Saccharomyces cerevisiae S288C: one gene and its partners. The protein of the gene in region 3 binds, or shares a complex with, the protein of the main gene of each other region. Each region holds a gene or a part of one and is shown on either strand. Other genes may lie near its edges. A codon is read from its position in the direction of its gene.

The links.
Region 1: RNA14 (region 3) and PCF11 share a complex: the UniProt entries of both Saccharomyces cerevisiae proteins name them as parts of the CFIA complex.
Region 2: the proteins of RNA14 (region 3) and RNA15 are in contact, whole or in part, in an NMR structure (PDB 2L9B), measured with the Saccharomyces cerevisiae proteins. Residues at the interface, in NP_013777.1 of Saccharomyces cerevisiae: Glu630 (codon at 1,675), Leu631 (codon at 1,672), Pro632 (codon at 1,669), Glu634 (codon at 1,663), Val635 (codon at 1,660), Leu636 (codon at 1,657), Leu638 (codon at 1,651), Leu639 (codon at 1,648), Ser640 (codon at 1,645), Val641 (codon at 1,642), Ile642 (codon at 1,639), Pro643 (codon at 1,636), Lys644 (codon at 1,633), Arg645 (codon at 1,630), Tyr647 (codon at 1,624), Phe648 (codon at 1,621), Thr650 (codon at 1,615), Leu652 (codon at 1,609), Leu653 (codon at 1,606), Asp654 (codon at 1,603), Ala655 (codon at 1,600), Gln656 (codon at 1,597), Lys657 (codon at 1,594), Leu658 (codon at 1,591), Val659 (codon at 1,588), Phe661 (codon at 1,582), Leu662 (codon at 1,579), Asn663 (codon at 1,576), Val666 (codon at 1,567), Glu667 (codon at 1,564); in NP_011471.1 of Saccharomyces cerevisiae: Phe145 (codon at 2,029), Glu147 (codon at 2,023), Leu148 (codon at 2,020), Pro149 (codon at 2,017), Ser150 (codon at 2,014), Gly151 (codon at 2,011), Ile152 (codon at 2,008), Asp153 (codon at 2,005), Val154 (codon at 2,002), Ile156 (codon at 1,996), Pro161 (codon at 1,981), Met164 (codon at 1,972), Ile165 (codon at 1,969), Glu168 (codon at 1,960), Leu169 (codon at 1,957), Lys172 (codon at 1,948), Leu178 (codon at 1,930), Lys179 (codon at 1,927), Phe180 (codon at 1,924), Leu181 (codon at 1,921), Gln182 (codon at 1,918), Lys183 (codon at 1,915), Phe184 (codon at 1,912), Gln185 (codon at 1,909), Trp187 (codon at 1,903), Thr188 (codon at 1,900), Arg189 (codon at 1,897), Pro192 (codon at 1,888), Ala195 (codon at 1,879), Leu198 (codon at 1,870).

The regions. Positions count from the first base shown.
Region 1 is NC_001136.10:920,134-926,704, forward strand, and holds PCF11 (Pcf11p), read right to left. Parts: upstream 3,674-6,571; coding exon 1,793-3,673; downstream 1-1,792. Other genes in the region: chromatin-silencing protein SIR4, read left to right, coding at 1-1,514; IVY1 (Ivy1p), read left to right, coding at 4,652-6,013; COX20 (Cox20p), read right to left, coding at 6,160-6,571. UniProt on the Saccharomyces cerevisiae protein: Component of the cleavage factor IA (CFIA) complex, which is involved in the endonucleolytic cleavage during polyadenylation-dependent pre-mRNA 3'-end formation and cooperates with cleavage factor NAB4/CFIB and the cleavage and polyadenylation factor (CPF) complex.
Region 2 is NC_001139.9:414,576-420,367, forward strand, and holds RNA15 (Rna15p), read right to left. Parts: upstream 2,462-5,792; coding exon 1,571-2,461; downstream 1-1,570. Other genes in the region: RIM8 (Rim8p), read left to right, coding at 1-1,155; transcription elongation factor DST1, read left to right, coding at 2,908-3,837; YGL041C-B (uncharacterized protein), read right to left, coding at 4,129-4,311; DPC13 (Dpc13p), read left to right, coding at 4,250-4,714; porphobilinogen synthase HEM2, read right to left, coding at 4,952-5,792. UniProt on the Saccharomyces cerevisiae protein: RNA-binding component of the cleavage factor IA (CFIA) complex, which is involved in the endonucleolytic cleavage during polyadenylation-dependent pre-mRNA 3'-end formation and cooperates with the cleavage factor NAB4/CFIB and the cleavage and polyadenylation factor (CPF) complex.
Region 3 is NC_001145.3:389,241-396,316, reverse strand, and holds RNA14 (cleavage polyadenylation factor subunit RNA14), read right to left. Parts: upstream 3,563-7,076; coding exon 1,529-3,562; downstream 1-1,528. Other genes in the region: ARG7 (glutamate N-acetyltransferase), read left to right, coding at 1-1,263; SAM complex subunit SAM37, read left to right, coding at 3,802-4,785; SEN15 (Sen15p), read right to left, coding at 4,832-5,218; ferroxidase FET3, read right to left, coding at 5,585-7,076. UniProt on the Saccharomyces cerevisiae protein: Component of the cleavage factor IA (CFIA) complex, which is involved in the endonucleolytic cleavage during polyadenylation-dependent pre-mRNA 3'-end formation and cooperates with the cleavage factor NAB4/CFIB and the cleavage and polyadenylation factor (CPF) complex.

The DNA of each region.
Region 1 (6,571 bases), on a different chromosome or scaffold from region 3:
CTAACGACATTTGCTCTGTTGAAAACTATGAAACATCAAGTGCTTTCTTTTACCAACAAGTGCACAAGAAGGACAGATTACAATATTTGCCATTATATGCAGTTTCTACATTTGAAAACACAAATAACACTGAAAAAAATGATGTGACCAATAAAAATATCAATATAGGGAAACATAGCCAAGAACAAAATTCTTCTTCCGCTAAACCATCCCAAATTCCAACCGTGTCTTCTCCATTAGGATTCGAAGAAACAAAGCTAAGTACCACGCCTACTAAAAGCAATAGAAGAGTGTCGCATAGTGATACTAATTCTAGCAAACCCAAAAACACGAAGGAGAACCTTTCAAAAAGCTCTTGGAGGCAAGAATGGCTTGCAAATTTGAAACTTATTTCCGTTTCGTTGGTTGATGAGTTCCCTTCGGAGCTTTCCGACAGTGATAGACAAATAATTAACGAAAAAATGCAGTTACTTAAAGATATATTTGCTAACAACCTTAAATCAGCAATTTCCAATAATTTTAGAGAGAGTGACATCATTATACTGAAAGGTGAAATAGAAGATTACCCAATGAGTTCTGAAATTAAGATTTACTACAACGAATTACAGAACAAGCCTGATGCAAAAAAAGCCAGATTTTGGTCATTTATGAAGACTCAGAGATTTGTTTCCAACATGGGATTTGATATTCAGAAGTCCTGTGAACCTGTTTCTATATCCACGTCGGTCAAACCACATGTGGTCGAGCCCGAGCATATGGCAGATGCCAAAATTATGCCTAAGGATATACTGCAAATTACAAAAAAACCGTTAATGGTTAAAAATGTGAAGCCTTCTTCTCCGCCAGATGTGAAGTCTTTGGTGCAGCTGAGCACAATGGAAACGAAAACCCTACCAGAAAAGAAGCAATTCGACAGTATTTTTAATTCTAACAAAGCAAAAATAATCCCTGGAAATGGGAAGCACGCATCAGAAAACATCTCACTCTCTTTCTCAAGACCTGCGTCCTACGGCTATTTTTCTGTTGGAAAAAGGGTTCCAATCGTTGAAGATCGTCGAGTGAAACAACTCGACGATATAACAGACAGTAATACAACAGAAATTTTAACTAGTGTTGACGTTTTAGGAACACATTCACAAACTGGTACTCAACAATCAAATATGTACACATCAACCCAAAAAACAGAACTTGAAATTGATAATAAGGATAGTGTCACCGAATGTTCGAAGGACATGAAAGAAGATGGTCTTTCCTTTGTGGATATCGTTTTGTCGAAAGCAGCATCGGCGCTGGATGAAAAGGAAAAACAATTGGCTGTTGCAAATGAAATTATTCGGTCTTTGTCAGATGAAGTTATGAGGAATGAAATTAGAATAACTTCACTTCAAGGTGATTTAACTTTTACAAAGAAATGTCTTGAAAATGCGAGAAGTCAAATATCTGAAAAAGATGCTAAAATTAACAAATTGATGGAAAAAGATTTTCAAGTGAATAAGGAGATAAAACCGTATTGACTTTTTATCATTCTACAAAAGACCAGTAACGAAGTGTACCCTGTTTTTCTTTGTCGTTTTCTTCTATAATGAACAATTTACTTTACGGTCTTTAATCGATTTTAATGATTAGTTGGGCTTTTGGCTACATATGTAAAATTACATATAATATAATGGACACATAAGCAAAAAAAAAAAAAAAAAAAATAAACAAATGAGCAACCCATCAAATACCAAGAACAAAGAATTTAATATAATATATAGTTATTAAATTTAAATGTATATATGCAGTTCTGCTCTTATTTTGTGACCAATTTCTTTAAGTCATCCAAACCGACCTTGCCACTATTAGATTTGCTTGAATTTTGCGACGTTTCATGATAACATGTCGAGTGGAAATATTTGCCATTCACTTCAATAGTATTTTTCCAAACCCATTCACCAGATTCTTCATCATAAACGCCAGTAACGGTTTCCTTACAAATTGGACATTTGAAGGCCATATCTTGTGAAGTTTCTGGTACAACAACATATTTTCCCCGTATTTCCAACTCGTTACTTCTATCACTTCCTAAAGTGTTGTCTACAGAGCCTTCGTCATTTTCATCAGCGTGAATATTTAGGGCACTTTTATCGATATTTTTATTGGCATGCGGATCAGTATAATCATTTTTATGCTTTGTGGAGGTAATTTCATCATCTTTGAAGGCTGCCCATTGAGAGTCACTCAAATACCAGTTTCTTGATTGAATATTTTTCCTTGTGGTAGTTGTATTTAAGTTAGAGTTGCTTATGCCTGTATTTGCTGTGTTTTGTGATCCCTTAATTCTTGTATTTATTCTGAAATGCCAGTCCAAATGCTCATTTTGTAGTAGTTTTTCACTTTCTGAGTTGCCAAATCTCTTACCACACACGCTACATTTATTTGGCTTGGATCGGTATAATAAGTGAATAAGATTATTTTGGACGATGGGATTTTCTTGAAGAAGAGTTTGTTCGGACAGCTGCAGGGATGGGTTATTCAAAACGTCGATGTTAACCGTGGCAAAATAAGCTTTGCAGTCAGAAAGAATATCATTTAATAAGGGTATCTTTGGCAGGTTCTTCATCAATTGTTTTTCGTGTGAATCAAGAGAGTAGTTTGAGTGTCCATTTAGCTTTTTATAAAGCGTTACGATGGATTCTTTTGGTGGAGTATATATGAGCCCTTCAGCCTTAAGAGATGCATAGAGGTTATTGATTTTGTTTAGGGACTTTTTTTTCTCAATTTCTTGAAAAGATTCAACGCCAGAAATATTACCAAAAAGAGAGGAAGATAAAGAATTCTGTTGGTTCGTTGTATCTGAATTATTTCCAAACAATGGAATCGCTGAATTAGAGTTTTGTGTGTAAGAACCGACCATATCCTTAGTTTCGTGATACTGCTGCTGCTGCTGCTGTTGTTGTTGTTGCTGTTGCTGCTGTTGTTGCTGTTGCTGCTGAAGTTCGTGATACCTCATTCTTTCCTGCAAAACTTGTTGGTCCTGTGAGAAGACCTGCCTTAGTTGCATTTGAACTTGTTTCAGAGCATTGAGAGTTAGTTTTTCTCTTTTCAGTTCTTGTTTCAACTGAGATAAAACCAACAGTTTCATTTTTAATTTTTCATCATTTGGTTGATTCTTTAGCCTTTCACTAGTTAAACAAGTTAATTTATCAATGTCTCTTAATAGGAGGGGAACAGTCGGAGTTGGTAACATTGCTTGCAGGTTTTTCTGGTGGAGAGCACTGGCCTTTATTAAAAACTGTTCAATTTTCTCCAGTGCTGAGCCTTCAAACAGAGGCAGGCCGGTGTCATTAGGATTCAACCAAAGCTTAAACATATTGATGAGTTTTGTTCTTGTGGTGTTGTCCACCAATAAGTATGTTCTTTTGTACAAGTTAAACAAATTTCTACTGAAGTAGATTGTGTATGGGCTGCCAACATTCTTACAAATGGAGTCCAAGGCATAAAAAGCGTATAGCTTCTGCTTAGGCATACATTTTTCAATTCTACTCTCAATGGCGTCAACAAAATATTGAGCACACGAAATGTTTTCTTCTGCTAACTTCGTGAGAGTGGTAATAATGGGTCTCGAGTTAAAAGTTAATTCTTCAAGAATACTGTTGAAATCCTTGACTATAACTTCTGTGTCGTGATCCATAATGAAAAGAGAGTATTACAAATAGACCTAGTGTTTTCAAGTACAGTTTTCTTAACTGCTCCGAAAATTGTCCTGGTAATTCTTTGCAATGCAAAATTGAAAGAGAGACTTTTAAACTACTAAACCCTTAACAGTAGAACAACATTGTCTCATTAATTTTTGAAATTTCGCTTTCTTCCCATGCCTTAGGCCAAGTTCTCATCCAATGCGTCGAGTCCTTAAAAAAAATTCGCCCGGGTAAACTAAAACTTAGATGCACTAGGTAATACCATTTGGTGATAAAGGGAATAAAAAGCAGCAAATCCTAGCTCAATTACGAAACTCTGATCACTTGGGGCCCAGCTTCATTGGCTAAATTGGTGTATCCCTTGAACCGACTACGTAAGTACGTTTTGAAAAGTGTGTAAATCTATGTATAAAAGTACATCAAAAATTAGACTGAGAAAGTTCTGTATAGCTGTACTAATACATTAGGAATAGGCTAGACTTCTTCGCCGCTGGAATAAAACAGCTGGGCCTTCTCTTCATTGGTACCACTTGCTTTGCTCTATTGAAAGTACAAAGAATAGAGCAGACGAGTGTAAACATCCTATCTGCGTTCCAACAGAAGTGCGTATTGAAGTCATCTCATGCTAATGGCCATCTCATGTAGAATAGTAAGGAAAAACGTATCTAATTTATAAAAACTTGAGTTAGATCTCAAACTTCGGTAGATTGCGCCTTATTTAACGGATGATATACACTTATTCTACTGCTCACATTACTCGTTTTACAGGAAAAAATGGTCAATGCGGGCAAAAGAAAAAAATATTGGGCGATATGTTACAAGAAAAGGGTGAGATGGAAATTTATGCTAAACATTAAGTGGAAAAAAACCATATCCATACAATAGAAGTATATATTCTGAATAAAGGGTCAATTAAATTTCACCAAGGAATAAAATATTGTTAAAGAAAGTAACAGGAAGAGAAATCGGATATGCCTGACAATAATACGGAGCAATTGCAGGGATCTCCTTCAAGTGACCAGAGACTGAGGGTTGACTGGGACAACGGTAACCATTTTGACGTCTCTCCCGACAGATACGCGCCTCATCTATCTGAATTTTACCCAATTGTAAATAGTAAAAGACCAGTGGCTAGCAGTGCTGGCTCAGAAAATAACGACCATCTGGACGACATGAACCATTTACGTTCATCCAAAGTGTATTCAAAGGCCCGTCGGGCATCGAGCATAACTTCTGGTACGAGCACAATAAACGACTTGCAAACGCTAATCACAAAGAGAGATGTGAAAGAGACCCAGGAAGCCCTATCGACATTACTCAGGAACTCGAATGCTTATTCGGATTCGTTATTAAAGACATCTCAGAATGGGGCAGAAATTGCCCATTCCTTAGAAAACATTGCCAAGTTGAAGGGTTGCAATGATGAAACGGCGGAGAAACTATTGAGTGCCAGTGGGTTATTCTACCTTTTATCTAATCATCAGCTTATAATGTCAAAGTATTTCAATGACTTGTTGGGAGATAATTTAATTGATGATATTGATGAATTCGAATTACAGACCAAGATAATGGAGAACAAGTTCAAAGCACAAAGCAAAGAGCAAAGTTTAAAATTGAAATTGCAGGAAAGACATAACTTCGATATCTCGAAAAGAAAAATAAGGAATTTAATCTCATACCGAGAGAGCCTTTCTAGCTTGCAAGCAAGGTTAGATCAACTGGAGACACTAAAGCACGATTTTTACATGGATTCATACGAACTTGTGGAAAATACATGCAACAAAGTACTCAGCAAAGTTGCCACGGTATCTAGGGCACAAGTGGAAATTTCTGAAAATATTGCAAGGAAAGGTTGGTCTGGAGGCGGGCTAGACGAACTACTTTGTGATGCAGACGACCCCTTCAGCAAAAAAGCAGATGGGCCATACGGGACCATCGGTGGTGATGGAGAGACTGCTGGAGAAGCATACAACAGCGATGAGGAAACGGGTGGGAATGACGTGGTGCTCAATGAACTACTAGAAGGAACCAGCCAACCTTCCACATCAAAAACATCTTTACCCAAATCCAAGGGGTCCTCAACGGTATCCACACCGAATCATTCACAGTCAAGTTCAAACAAGGACGGGGTACGAAACAATGGCGGCGGCAAAAATGGCGAAGATGAGGATACAGACAATTTGATGGGAACAGAAAATTCATTTTCTTTACCGCCTACGAGAAACTCTGCCGAGGAAACCACACAAACGTTTAAACAATTGTCCATTAAAGAAGATAATGACAATCACAGCAGCGATACGGACGGCATGCAAGACCAGTCAAGTAATATATAAAATTTGTAACTCTATGTATGCTTTTTATATAGAAATGGAGAAAGTGAACAATTGAAGTTATAGTATTTTCGGAGAAATGTTGCATATATACATAGGAAAACGGTTAAAAGGCCCTGCTTCTACCTTCTGTTTCCCCCTCGTTCTTTTCACCAGAACTTGTACCATTTCTTCTCAGAGGAGGCCTGAGATAAATTCTGGTTACTTTGTTCAAACTGACTCTGCTTTTCATTTTTGGCGGCCTCCCATTGCCCCGGCAGAGATGGGTCATGAGGGACATTATGGAGCATTGGTTTTTCCTTTTTCGCCACGGTTTCCTTTGCCAATTGTGCGATCTGGAAACTTTTTTGTCTCTTTAGCCTACATTGCTCCCATCCGACAATCGAGCCCAGTATCAGAGAGCTCATCGCCCAATTCGTGGCCTTAGTCGGGCTCTTATGGTATATAAATATAATAGATCCCATCAAGAACATGCTGGAAAACCCGAGCATGCCCGCGTCTCTGAAGCACGGGATTGAAGTCAGCTTCTGCAAACTAAAATCACTCCATCTGATCGAGTCC
Region 2 (5,792 bases), on a different chromosome or scaffold from region 3:
TTCGAAAGGGGCTCGATAACATACTTCCTCTCTTGCACTTTAGAATCCCTCAACAACATCAACGGATTAAAAAAACCGGAAGCAAGATGCGAACGTGAGTTTGCAGTCATAGTTCCGCTGGACGTCTCGAGGCTGCCCAAGCCGAAAACTAAGACAGTGGTTTTACAATCAGCATCTATGGTCCAAAACAAAAAGAACAAATCTACAGAGGACGAATCCTCATCGTATACACAATTAACTCAAAAGTCTACTACTTCTAATTCTTCTAGCAGTTCAGTAAACTCCAAGACGTCCCCCTTACCAAATAAAACGGTGACTATATCCGTAGACATACCGCAGGCTGGATTCATGATTGGTGAAATTATCCCTATAGACGTTAAGATTGACCACTATAAGCCTTTCTATGCCCCTGCGGGTCTCACCACCACTTTGGTGAGGATATGTAGGGTGGGCGGTGCAGGCAAAGATGATCCTATGGAGACTTTCAGAAAAGATATATGTCAGAGTATCTCTCCTATATATATTAACCCTGAAACGTTGCAGTTTCAATCTAGAGTTTATCTGAAAGTGCCCCTTGATGCATTTTCGACCCTTACTACTGTGGGAAAATTTTTCTCCTTCCAATACTATATCGAGGTTATGGTTAACTTATCAAAAAAAAACGTGGTTTACACAGAATCTAATAGAATAATAGGAACTCCTATTGGAGAACAAAATGGCTTGGGCGTAGAGAATAATATCAACCGTATCCAAAGGAAAATGCTACGTATGGTCAATCCAGAAACGTTGGAGAACGATTCTGAGGGTTATGAATCCAGTATATTTTTCAAAGATATGGTAAATGTGGAAAAGCTAAAGAGACTGAGGAATGTAACTGGTATGTCCATAGAAACCGTCATAGGAACGACGAGATCCGAACAGCAGCAATCTGATGCAAGCATCCCATCCCAATCCTCAATCACGGCTCCTCAAAATTCTCCATCGAATTTAAGAGATTGGTTGGCCCCATTAAATGCATATGATAGTGACGATGTTCCAGTTCCAAAGTATTCGCCAAATGATAAAGTCAGTGTACCGTCGGAAGACAAACAAGAACTTGAACAAAAAAGACTACAACAGTTAGAAAGCGATCCTCCCCCTTGTGATGACTATTAAAAAGTGCAGGTAACAAGTCATATACTCGCAGCTTGCGCCGTGTTGGAACTAGGCGCCTTAATCATGTTTGCATATTTCCACTATCCCAGCCACGTAATGATCCATGACATTAACATAGAAAAAAAAAATCGAAGCATGCACAAACCTGAGATTTATATATGTTCATGTGTACTTAATATACGTTTAATGATTAAAACTATAGCCGTCCTCAGGCAAACTGAGATAAGAAACGAAAAAATAGCAGTAACGTAAACGTTATTCTATATTTATAAAGACGTCAAAAAAAAAAGTGATTGTGATATTGAGATGTAAGCTATATACCGAACTTTGAGCTCCCTCACGTGGAAAATATGATAGATTGTTGCCTCATCATTGCGGAACCGCATTTTTTTTTTGTATTTTTGCCTCCCTAGTTTCAAAATGCACCAAATTCTCCCCTTAATGCTTTTTGTTTTAAGTCCCAAATAGCCATCCTTTCATCATCGGGCAAGATAGAAATTTGACTGTCATTCAGTTGTAACACCTGTTTCAGTAGTTCTTTCTGTTTGTTAAGCACAGCTGGATCCACCACCTCGTTCACGCTATTGTTATTCGTAGCCGATGCCTCTTCTTGCGGCCTGGAAGCTAACGGGATCAAATCATCCACTTTACATATCCCATTCGTTAGCAATAATTCAGCCGTAACAAAACTCAACTGTGGACACAGCTCTAATAGCGAAACAGCATCTTCAGGATGCGCTCTTGTCCATTCTTGGAATTTTTGTAAAAATTTCAACTGCACCTCTTTCGGTTTTTTAGCTAGTTCGCTCGATATCATCATAGCAGGGGTGGTCATGTTTATGTTAACGTCGATACCAGAGGGCAATTCTGGAAACTTTTGACTTAGAAAATTGGCATTTCCGCTGTTTTGAAAGTCCGGCCCATTACTATTATTATTATTATTTCCATTGTTGTTATTGTTCCCATTAATGTTGTTGTACTGTTGTTGTTGCTGTTGTGAAACTCCCGATATATCACTATTGCTGGAGTAACCGCATTTCAAAAACCTAGAGCCTAATTGGTATCCATTCAAATTACGTACTGCGCTGGCACTGGACTCTAAATCTCTAAATTCAATAAACGCGTACCCTTTCGACCTACCAGTTTGGGGGTCGAACATCATTTTCAAATTGATCACGGGCCCAACATTACTACATAAATCAAGTATCTGCTCCTCTGTTTGATCGTATGGTATAGAACCCAGATACACCACTCGGGATGGTGGGTTGTTCTGTACCCCCGCATTCACACCGCTCTGCCTATTCATTTTATCGTTTTCGTCTTTTCTTTCAATGTATTGATAATTAACGTGTCTATGTGATGCTATTGGTATATAGCCTTTCTTGTATATCCCTCTAACAATTATTACAAGTGTTTCTGTTTAAAGCAAGTGCTAGAAGTGACTCGGTTCTCTTAGGAAATTCTAAACGCAAGATTTCTCTTATGGTGATTGTAACAATTATGAGATACTTCACTAGCCCACCTTAACTTTACGGACCTTCTTTTGAAACGATGCTTCGAATGACAACGCCTTTTTGATATATAATATCCAATTTCATTATAGGGAAATTTTCAACTCTTACCCGCCCCACTGTGCTGATATGACCAAGTGATCACTCGATGATGGGACTACGTATTGAAAAATATTGAATGAAAAATTACTCAAGCAGCAGAACATTCACAGTGTAGTCAGTCCGCATAAGAGCATTCATCATGGATAGTAAGGAAGTACTGGTACATGTTAAGAATCTAGAAAAGAACAAAAGTAATGATGCTGCAGTTCTAGAAATCTTACATGTCTTGGATAAAGAATTCGTCCCCACTGAAAAGTTACTGAGAGAAACAAAAGTTGGTGTGGAAGTCAACAAGTTTAAAAAATCCACTAATGTAGAGATCAGCAAACTCGTGAAGAAAATGATTAGCTCTTGGAAAGACGCAATTAATAAAAATAAGCGTTCCAGGCAAGCACAGCAGCATCATCAAGATCATGCGCCAGGCAATGCAGAGGACAAGACAACTGTAGGTGAGTCCGTGAATGGTGTTCAACAGCCGGCCTCCTCCCAGTCAGATGCCATGAAACAAGACAAGTACGTCAGCACTAAACCAAGAAATAGTAAGAACGATGGTGTGGATACAGCTATATACCACCACAAATTACGTGATCAGGTACTAAAAGCACTCTACGACGTTTTGGCCAAGGAAAGTGAGCATCCACCTCAATCTATTTTGCATACTGCAAAGGCCATAGAAAGTGAAATGAATAAAGTTAACAACTGTGACACCAACGAAGCCGCTTACAAAGCCAGGTATCGTATAATTTATTCAAACGTCATATCAAAGAATAACCCAGATCTCAAACATAAAATTGCCAACGGTGATATAACACCTGAATTCTTAGCTACATGCGATGCCAAGGATCTGGCACCAGCGCCCTTAAAGCAAAAGATAGAAGAAATTGCCAAGCAAAACTTATACAACGCACAGGGTGCCACCATAGAAAGGTCAGTCACCGATAGATTTACATGTGGTAAATGTAAAGAGAAGAAGGTATCTTACTATCAATTGCAAACAAGATCTGCGGATGAACCATTGACCACTTTCTGTACATGTGAAGCATGTGGTAACAGATGGAAATTCTCTTAGAATAGAAAAAGATGAGAGTAGCCACGGACAGAGCAAAGGAAACAATAGGAGGAAGGGACAGAAAAGCCTGTTCTGACTCTATTCGTAGTAGTATTTGACAGCCGGAATCCAGGAAAAGAAAAAGCCAAACATACAACCATATCCAATTTGTTGAAATGGCATATTCATATACGATGTACATATATACATATACTGCTGGTGTTAATTTTTTTTGTCTGTCTCACGTAAAATCTTTTGTTCGTCCAGTTACTTTTAATTATTTATGATTTTCATGTTTTCTTTATTAATCTTCTATGCATTAAATATGGCTCGGTCAGAACTAAAGAAATACAATTTAAGATGTAACAAAACCGACGAATAAAAAGTTAGAATAAACACAAGAAGCAGAAAGTAGATACTACAGCCACACATAATGCTAAGAGTTATATGGAAGCATAGTTCCAGAGTCACTCGTTCGATAGAACTATCGAACATTTCTACCACTAATCACACCAGGAGTTTAAGGAGGCTTTCCTGGATTTCTCCGAGAAGATTTTACGCTCAATCTTGGGACGACAGACAGCCTAATGACAAAATAGATGCACACATAAAGGTGCAGAAACTCATGGATCAAATAAATTCGAGGCCTAATGTTCTGGAAAAGTTAGAAAAGGTTAGCAATATCATGATCGAAAAAAAATTGGTTAATCTAGATGGGACTTCTGCCAATGAAGAAAATACGATGAAACCATGGCAAATGATTAAGATCTTAATGGACAGAGATCTGAGACACGCTATGAAGGAATTTAAATTGGAATTGGAAAAATCTGGCATACAGTTAGGACCTGAACAACTGGCCCCGCTAATGACCGTTTTAGGCCTTGAGAAGAAAAAATGAGAGGTGAAAGTAAAAAAACATTACCTATCTGTCTTACTAGCGCCTTCCGTGTATAAATATTACGTACTACTACATAAATACTCATTAGGAGGATTACATAATTTCCATTGTATCGTATACTAGGTCGCATCTTTGCATATTATAAAGCTTGCCAAATAGGGATATACTGCCAGCACTGTTACATTTGTCATATTGACATCATTATTTTTACTATTCACAAGGTAAGCACGTTTTTTTTTAGTTTTCTTCATCTAACCAGTCTAGGAACTCAGGAGCCAAATAAGTGATGATTAATCTGGCACCCGCCCTCAAGAAACCTTGATGAGATTCAAAGGCAATTGTCTTCAAATCAACAACACCTTTTTCAGCTGCAGCATGTAACATTGCGTATTCGCCCGACACGTGATATGCGCAGATTGGTAAGTCTTTACAAATTTCACTTGCATCCCTCATTATATCTAAGTAGAAAGTGGAAGGCTTAACAATAATACCGTCGGCACCTTCACTCATATCCCTTTCCAACGCCCTACGTGCCAGGCCACGACCGGCAGGAGGTAATTGGTAACATTTCCTATCACCATTCGAAGGAGCTGAACAAGCAGCATCACGGAATGGCCCATATAGATTACCGCTAAACTTAGCTGCATAGGATAACACGAAGGTCTTGTGAGCCAAGTTTGCATTTATTAAGCCTCGTTTAATATCTCTGATCCTACCATCGATCATATCACTGGGAGCCACACAGTGCGCACCAGCTTTAGCGTAGTTAACTGCCACAGCTGCTAATCTAGAGACACTACGTTCTCTATTAATAGTACCATCATCGTATAGAACCCCGCAATGGCCATGAGAAGTGTATTCACAGAGACAGACATCGCAAATAATATACAGTTCAGGGAAATACTCACGAATGAATTTAATACCTTGAATGACTGGCCCTGCAGGATCGTCAGCCGCTGTACCCACTGGATCCTTGGTACCAGGGATGAGAGGCACACCAAACAAGATCACAGAACGCAAACCCTTGGCCACTAATGGCTTTAAGTAGTCTTTTAGCCTATTTACACCGATTCTATTG
Region 3 (7,076 bases):
GTGCCCAAGACGGGCTCTTTTCCTAAAGGATTTGAAGTAGGCTACACTGCATCTGGAGTCAAAAAAAACGGGAGCCTGGACCTGGGTGTAATCTTGAATACCAATAAATCTCGTCCTTCAACCGCAGCAGCTGTTTTCACGACCAATAAATTCAAAGCTGCGCCAGTTTTGACATCGAAAAAAGTCCTTGAAACTGCTCGTGGTAAAAACATCAACGCTATTGTAGTCAATTCCGGTTGTGCTAACTCGGTCACAGGTGATCTTGGTATGAAAGATGCCCAAGTAATGATTGATTTGGTTAACGATAAAATTGGTCAAAAAAATTCTACCCTAGTCATGTCTACAGGCGTTATTGGACAACGACTACAGATGGACAAGATCAGCACTGGTATCAATAAAATTTTTGGAGAAGAAAAGTTCGGCAGTGATTTTAACTCTTGGTTGAACGTAGCCAAATCAATCTGTACTACTGATACTTTCCCAAAATTAGTTACATCTAGATTCAAATTACCTAGTGGTACTGAGTATACTTTGACAGGTATGGCAAAGGGCGCGGGTATGATTTGTCCGAATATGGCTACCTTATTAGGTTTCATAGTTACAGATCTTCCTATTGAAAGCAAGGCGTTGCAGAAGATGCTGACTTTCGCTACTACCCGTTCATTTAATTGTATATCGGTGGACGGTGATATGAGCACCAATGACACAATTTGCATGTTGGCCAACGGTGCTATTGACACCAAAGAAATTAACGAAGACTCTAAAGATTTTGAACAAGTAAAATTGCAGGTCACAGAATTTGCTCAGCGCTTGGCCCAGTTAGTCGTTCGCGATGGTGAAGGTTCGACAAAGTTTGTTACTGTTAACGTTAAAAATGCTTTGCATTTTGAAGACGCCAAAATAATTGCTGAATCAATCTCAAACTCTATGTTGGTCAAAACCGCACTATATGGGCAAGATGCCAATTGGGGAAGAATATTGTGCGCGATCGGGTATGCAAAGCTGAATGACTTAAAATCTCTAGATGTCAACAAAATTAATGTTAGCTTTATTGCTACCGACAATTCAGAACCTCGTGAGCTGAAGCTTGTCGCTAATGGTGTGCCACAATTGGAGATCGATGAAACAAGGGCTTCTGAAATATTGGCTTTGAATGATTTGGAAGTGTCTGTCGACTTGGGAACCGGTGATCAGGCAGCACAATTTTGGACTTGTGATTTATCACATGAATATGTAACAATTAACGGTGATTACCGTTCATAAATTCATGTATATTTTGTTCAATCTTTCTTTTATAAGCATGGTTATATAAACGCACAGAAACAGAGTGTTTCCTGTACCTTCTGAATGAGTTTGGCTATTGCCATATTTTTGAAAGAATTAACTATTTCCGTTTTTATTTATGTACGAGGCACCTTAACTATCCTGTCACATCGTTTTTTTTTTACTTAATTACATACAGAGGTTCGCCTATTATAATAGATGTGTTGGTATAAATATTCATATATACCTATTTATTAACGTAATGTTAACCTGACTTGGTGCTCTCAACTGTTGGAATCTCTACTTGATCATTTAAAAAATTCACCAATTTCTGCGCATCGAGTAAATTTGTATTAAAATATTGACGTTTTGGTATAACGCTCAATAAATCAAGAACCTCTGTTGGAAGCTCTGAGTCTCTTTTGAATTTCTTATTGGAGAAGTTTCCATTGTTTCCAGTTTCCTCCATTAGTCTCTTTCTATCTGACGAACTCATATTGTAAGAGCCATGATGGCCATCCCCGTTTCCAGAAGAAAAGTAACTGTCTTCTTCCTCATTATACATATAAGTTAACTCTAATTTCTTTATTAAGTTGGAGTTTTGAATTTGATAACGACTTGTGAAAACTTCAATCAAATTTTCTTGGGGGAACCGTTCGAAAAATCTTTTCTCTAGAGAATAAACGTTGTTTAAGTTACCGAATTTCGATTCATAACTTATCATTTTCTTGTATATTTCCTTCAGCTGGGTTAAATCTTGCACTTTTTCCACTGATGTTTCAAATAAGGTTTTGATCTGCGAATCCTTATTTAAAAATATTAAAAAATCTAAGTATTTGTTGATATAAACTCCATCGTTTTGGAAGTATTTTAAACCCAATTCTAAAACCTTAAAAGCAGTCTTATAATCGTTTTGATTTTGAAATTCTAAATATGCATTTTCCACGTAGACGTCATGTGTTAATATACGCTTCAGTTTACGACATTTACCAAATACAGTACGTGCTGCGGATAGTCCTGATATTCTTTTCATCGTATTCATATACACGCAAAACACGAATGTTAATTTTTCCCTCTGTTTGTATAGCAGCTCTTGTTCATACTCTGTGTTATTATCTTCACCCGAATTTACATCGGAGGCGATCTTTTTATACTGCGATAGTAAAGTTTGAGTGCACTTGTCAAAACAGTTAGAAACACTTTCAGAATCATTATCCAGTTCGTAGCATTCGGATAACTTGAATGTAAGAGAAGGTGAGTCGGGATTAGCTAATAACGCAGTATATAAGATATTTTGTCGATCCGAATTTTCAGATATATACATTGAATAATCGTACCACATTTCAGCAGAAAATATCATGTATTGAATACCTTGTTTATAAACGTAACTGATTCTTTGTGATAGCATATCTTCACTAAGCATCAACTTATTCTCCCTTTCCCATTTTATCCAATTCAACCAAATCTGTAACTGCTGAATGTTTGAGTCTGAGGTACCTGGTTGTGGTATGTTTTTCTTGTTTGCTGTGCGCAGATTAATTGGAGATGCCCTTTTCAATCCATTAGTAACGTTCAACCATTCCTGGTATAAGGAACGGGCTTTCATGTATTCGGCTGATAACTCGCCAATAAATTTTCTGGCTGTTAGGGAATTTATTTCTTGTTCCCATTGAGTGTATCTATTCCACATTTTTTCTAGATTATCAAAAGGAACACATAGCATTTTCTTGTAGAATTCTCTGAGCATGTCAATTCGCTGTTGCTCCTCCCATTTGTTGAATGGCTTCCACTGCTCTAAAAAATTGAGATATTCGTTCCAAAAAGAAGATGATTTGGGTTCAAAAATTGCACACTTTTGCATAACTAGTTGGAATGCCTTGACAATAACAGCTCTCGCCTCTTGTCCACCAGTAATTAAGTTGTTTTTTCTGCGTATGTAGTCCAAATATGTTGACCAAAGAGATAGGTCATTATTTTCCAACTTGCCAGAAAGACATTGAGCCAAAATCTTCTCAACAGTCTCAAATTCATCTCTTGCCAATTCACCCTTTAGTTGCAAAGTCCACGCAGGTGAATAAAACGGGAATGTGTTATGAAATTGCTCGTATACTTCTCTCACCTTAGCGTATGACTCTTGAGTTTCCAAATATTGAATAAGCTGGAAGTATGATAAAATATTCGTGGGATTGTCTTTAATCCTTTCTCTAAGTCGTAGTTCATCTCCATGTATATTGTCACTAGGCTCTGCGACTTTGTCCGCAGAGGGATATAGTAAATCAGGAGTCGTAGAGCTGGACATATCTCTTGTTTGACTCTCCAGTTTGGCCTTTTATTTCGTTGTAGAATACTCTTTCATCACACAAGCTACACTTTTCTTCTTAATTATTACAAGGTAACCGACAATTTTGTCACGATTGTTATCATTTTAAACGAAGTGGGAAATGTAATAAGAAATAAGCTATTTAGAATGGCTACTATTTAATGCTGGAATTTGTATTTTTCAAATAAACGCAAAGCAAGGCTATTATCGAGTCAGTAATGGTTAAAGGTAGTGTGCATTTATGGGGAAAGGATGGCAAAGCATCGTTGATTTCAGTGGACAGCATTGCGCTTGTATGGTTTATCAAGTTATGTACTTCAGAAGAGGCAAAGAGTATGGTTGCGGGATTGCAGATCGTATTCTCAAACAATACAGACCTATCATCAGATGGAAAACTACCAGTGTTAATTTTAGATAATGGAACGAAAGTATCTGGTTACGTGAACATCGTACAATTCTTACATAAAAATATATGTACTAGCAAATATGAGAAAGGTACGGATTATGAAGAAGATTTAGCAATTGTTAGAAAAAAGGATCGCCTTTTAGAGTATTCCCTATTGAATTATGTTGACGTTGAAATTTCCAGACTAACGGACTACCAGCTCTTTTTGAACACCAAAAATTACAATGAATATACCAAGAAGTTGTTTTCAAAATTGCTATATTTTCCTATGTGGTATAATACGCCATTGCAACTAAGATCGCAAGCACGTGAAAATTGTGAGGAGATTATAGGCTCACTGACCCTTGAGGATGATGAAGAATTTGTAGAAAGTAAAGCAATGGAGTCAGCCTCGCAACTAGCACAATCAAAGACCTTCAAAATTGCGCATAAGAACAAAATTAAGGGTAAGCAAGAGCTACAACAGGTGAAATATAATCTTCAATTTGATAATAGACTACAGAGTTGCGTCAGCAATTGGTTGGCTGCCCGTAAAAAACTGGATGATTCTGTAATACTTTCCTCCGACCTTCTTTTCCTTGCAAATCTTTACGTTCAGTTAGGCCTACCTGATGGTAACCGCATCCGTTCAAAACTGGAACAAACCTTTGGAAGTGAATTATTGAATAGTATGTCGAACAAAATTGATGACTTCGTCCATAGACCAAGTAATAACTTGGAGCAAAGAGATCCTCAATTTAGAGAGCAAGGAAACGTTGTGATGTCATTATATAATTTAGCCTGTAAATACATATAATAAAAATAAACAAAATAATGCAGAAAGGTGTCTTTAAGTTCATTTTTCAATTTCTTTTCGGTTTTCGTACTCCTTTATAAACGAAGTAATAAACAATTGTACCATCATCGTTAATTATGGCCAGCAGTATTCTTTCAGTAGATGGACTACATAAGTGAGTAAATGTCTGGCTCAAGCATTCCAAAGTGAGAAAATTCTCTTTGTACTGTGACATATTGATGGGTAATATGAACTCTAGCGGGCGTGGCGATGACAAGCTATTTTCATGCTCTGTGTCTACATCGTTGCTCAGCTTGTGAGGCGGACGACCTCTCAGTAATCTCAGGCTATTTCCCTTCCATGATAAATCGTCTTGTAAAATTTCCACTTCCGTCCACATTTGGAAATAGAGTAAATTATTTTTTACTAGAGATATGATATCTGTCGTTGCCATTCTTATTTTCCTCAACCTCCTCGACGTAATTTCTCTTCGACAATTTATTATATCTTTCATATATTTCTGATGACTTTTTCATTTTCACTTTTTTTCAACCCATAACGGCTTTTTGTTCAAAAGAAACTGATCATGTCATCGATTAAAAGTAAAAGTATGCACATCAGCCTCGTGACAGATGAGGATCTCATGTCAAAAACCGCCAAGAAGCATGCATTATTGAATTTGAAACGTGGTAGATTATTAAGTATATGTCTATGTAATATTAAGTAAGACAAGGGCATTCACTTTACATGCAAATGCATTTGGAACCCTTGACCGAAAAAAAAAAAACAGGTTAACCGCAAAATACATGATCTTCCTTTATTAGAAGAACCGTTTGGCTTTAGTTAAAAATTGATGCTTTTCAGTGGAATGACGATCTTCGTTTACCTGACGCTCTTCATTTTCATCAACCTCATTTAGCAAGACTTCAGGGTCCACGTGCAAGTCTCGAATAACCTTTTCGGTCGCATCTTCCATATCCATCATACCATAAATTGCAATTGTGATAATACCAAGAATACCGGCAAAGCAGGAGAATGTCATGGCAATAATACCTTTTTTGGTAAAACCGGTAGGAATGAAGGCATGCTGAACATTTTCACCAGTTAAATCAGTTAAATCCAGTGTATTGGCAGCGGCGTTACCTTCAGTGGCCACAGAGCAACTCTGGCAAACTTCTAAGTGGTTTTCACTGAGTTGTTGAGAATGAGCATCTTGGATACCAAAAGGATCCTCCACGAGAACAAGACCCAAACCTTGCAACAAATGCCATTCGATATGACAATGGAAGAACCAAACACCTGGGTTATCGGCTTTAAACCTGATGACGAAATTGGATTGTGGTCTAACGTATAAAGTATCTCTTCTCATTGGGTATTCTGGGAAGGCAGGGTGGTTGTCCGGATCGAAACTGTGAGGAACTTCACCTAGGGCATCATCATATGTACGATCTCTCTGGATGGTTTGGAAAGCGTGACCATGTAAATGGAAAGGATGGGTACCTGTGTCCTGGTTATTTAGCACAATCTCCACGATTTCATCCTTCTCTAGGATGAAAGTGTGCGTGTTTGAACCGTAGATTTCGGAGTTGTTTGCTTGATCACCTGAAGACAAAACGGTCATCAAAGTAGGAACTTTTGGTGCAGTATAGGTGATATTATTGAAGAAGGCGTAATTCACACCGTTTTTCAAGTTATCCATAACAACGTCAACGGTAATCACATGATCTGGCTCGCCATAGATGGCTTCTTTCTCGTACGGTTGCAAGTAGAAATCGTCCAAGAAGTTATCAATTGAATCCACGTAATTTTGTGTGGGCAGCGCAGCGGTTTTGTTGTAGACCATATAAGAGGTTGCATTCAGCTGTAAATCACTTGGAATGACATCCAACATGGTGTCATCAAATTTCTGCATGATGGCGAAATTTTTGTCCGTGTCGTTTTTAGTGTGAACCAGGACTGTATATCTCTGAGCGACAGTGATGTAAAGCATATCCGTTACGTTCTTCTCGGTAGTGATACCGTCGATTTCGACCACGGTCATTTCGTGGTCCTCGATCCAAAAGTACTGCGAAACGAACCCACCCACGTTGACAATTCTCAAAAGATACGTCGTATCGGGCTGGACTTCCCATGTCAGATTCATCGTGTTGTTAACAATCAAGTTCTGTGGGATGGGCTCAGCACCTGTCGGATTATAAACACTCATGAACGACTTCGTCAAGTCCGTGACCAAGTCGTGGTACCACTCACTAAGCGATAAAGAAAGTTCCTCATCGTAATCGTAGGGGAAGCTATCATCCTTGATGATGAAA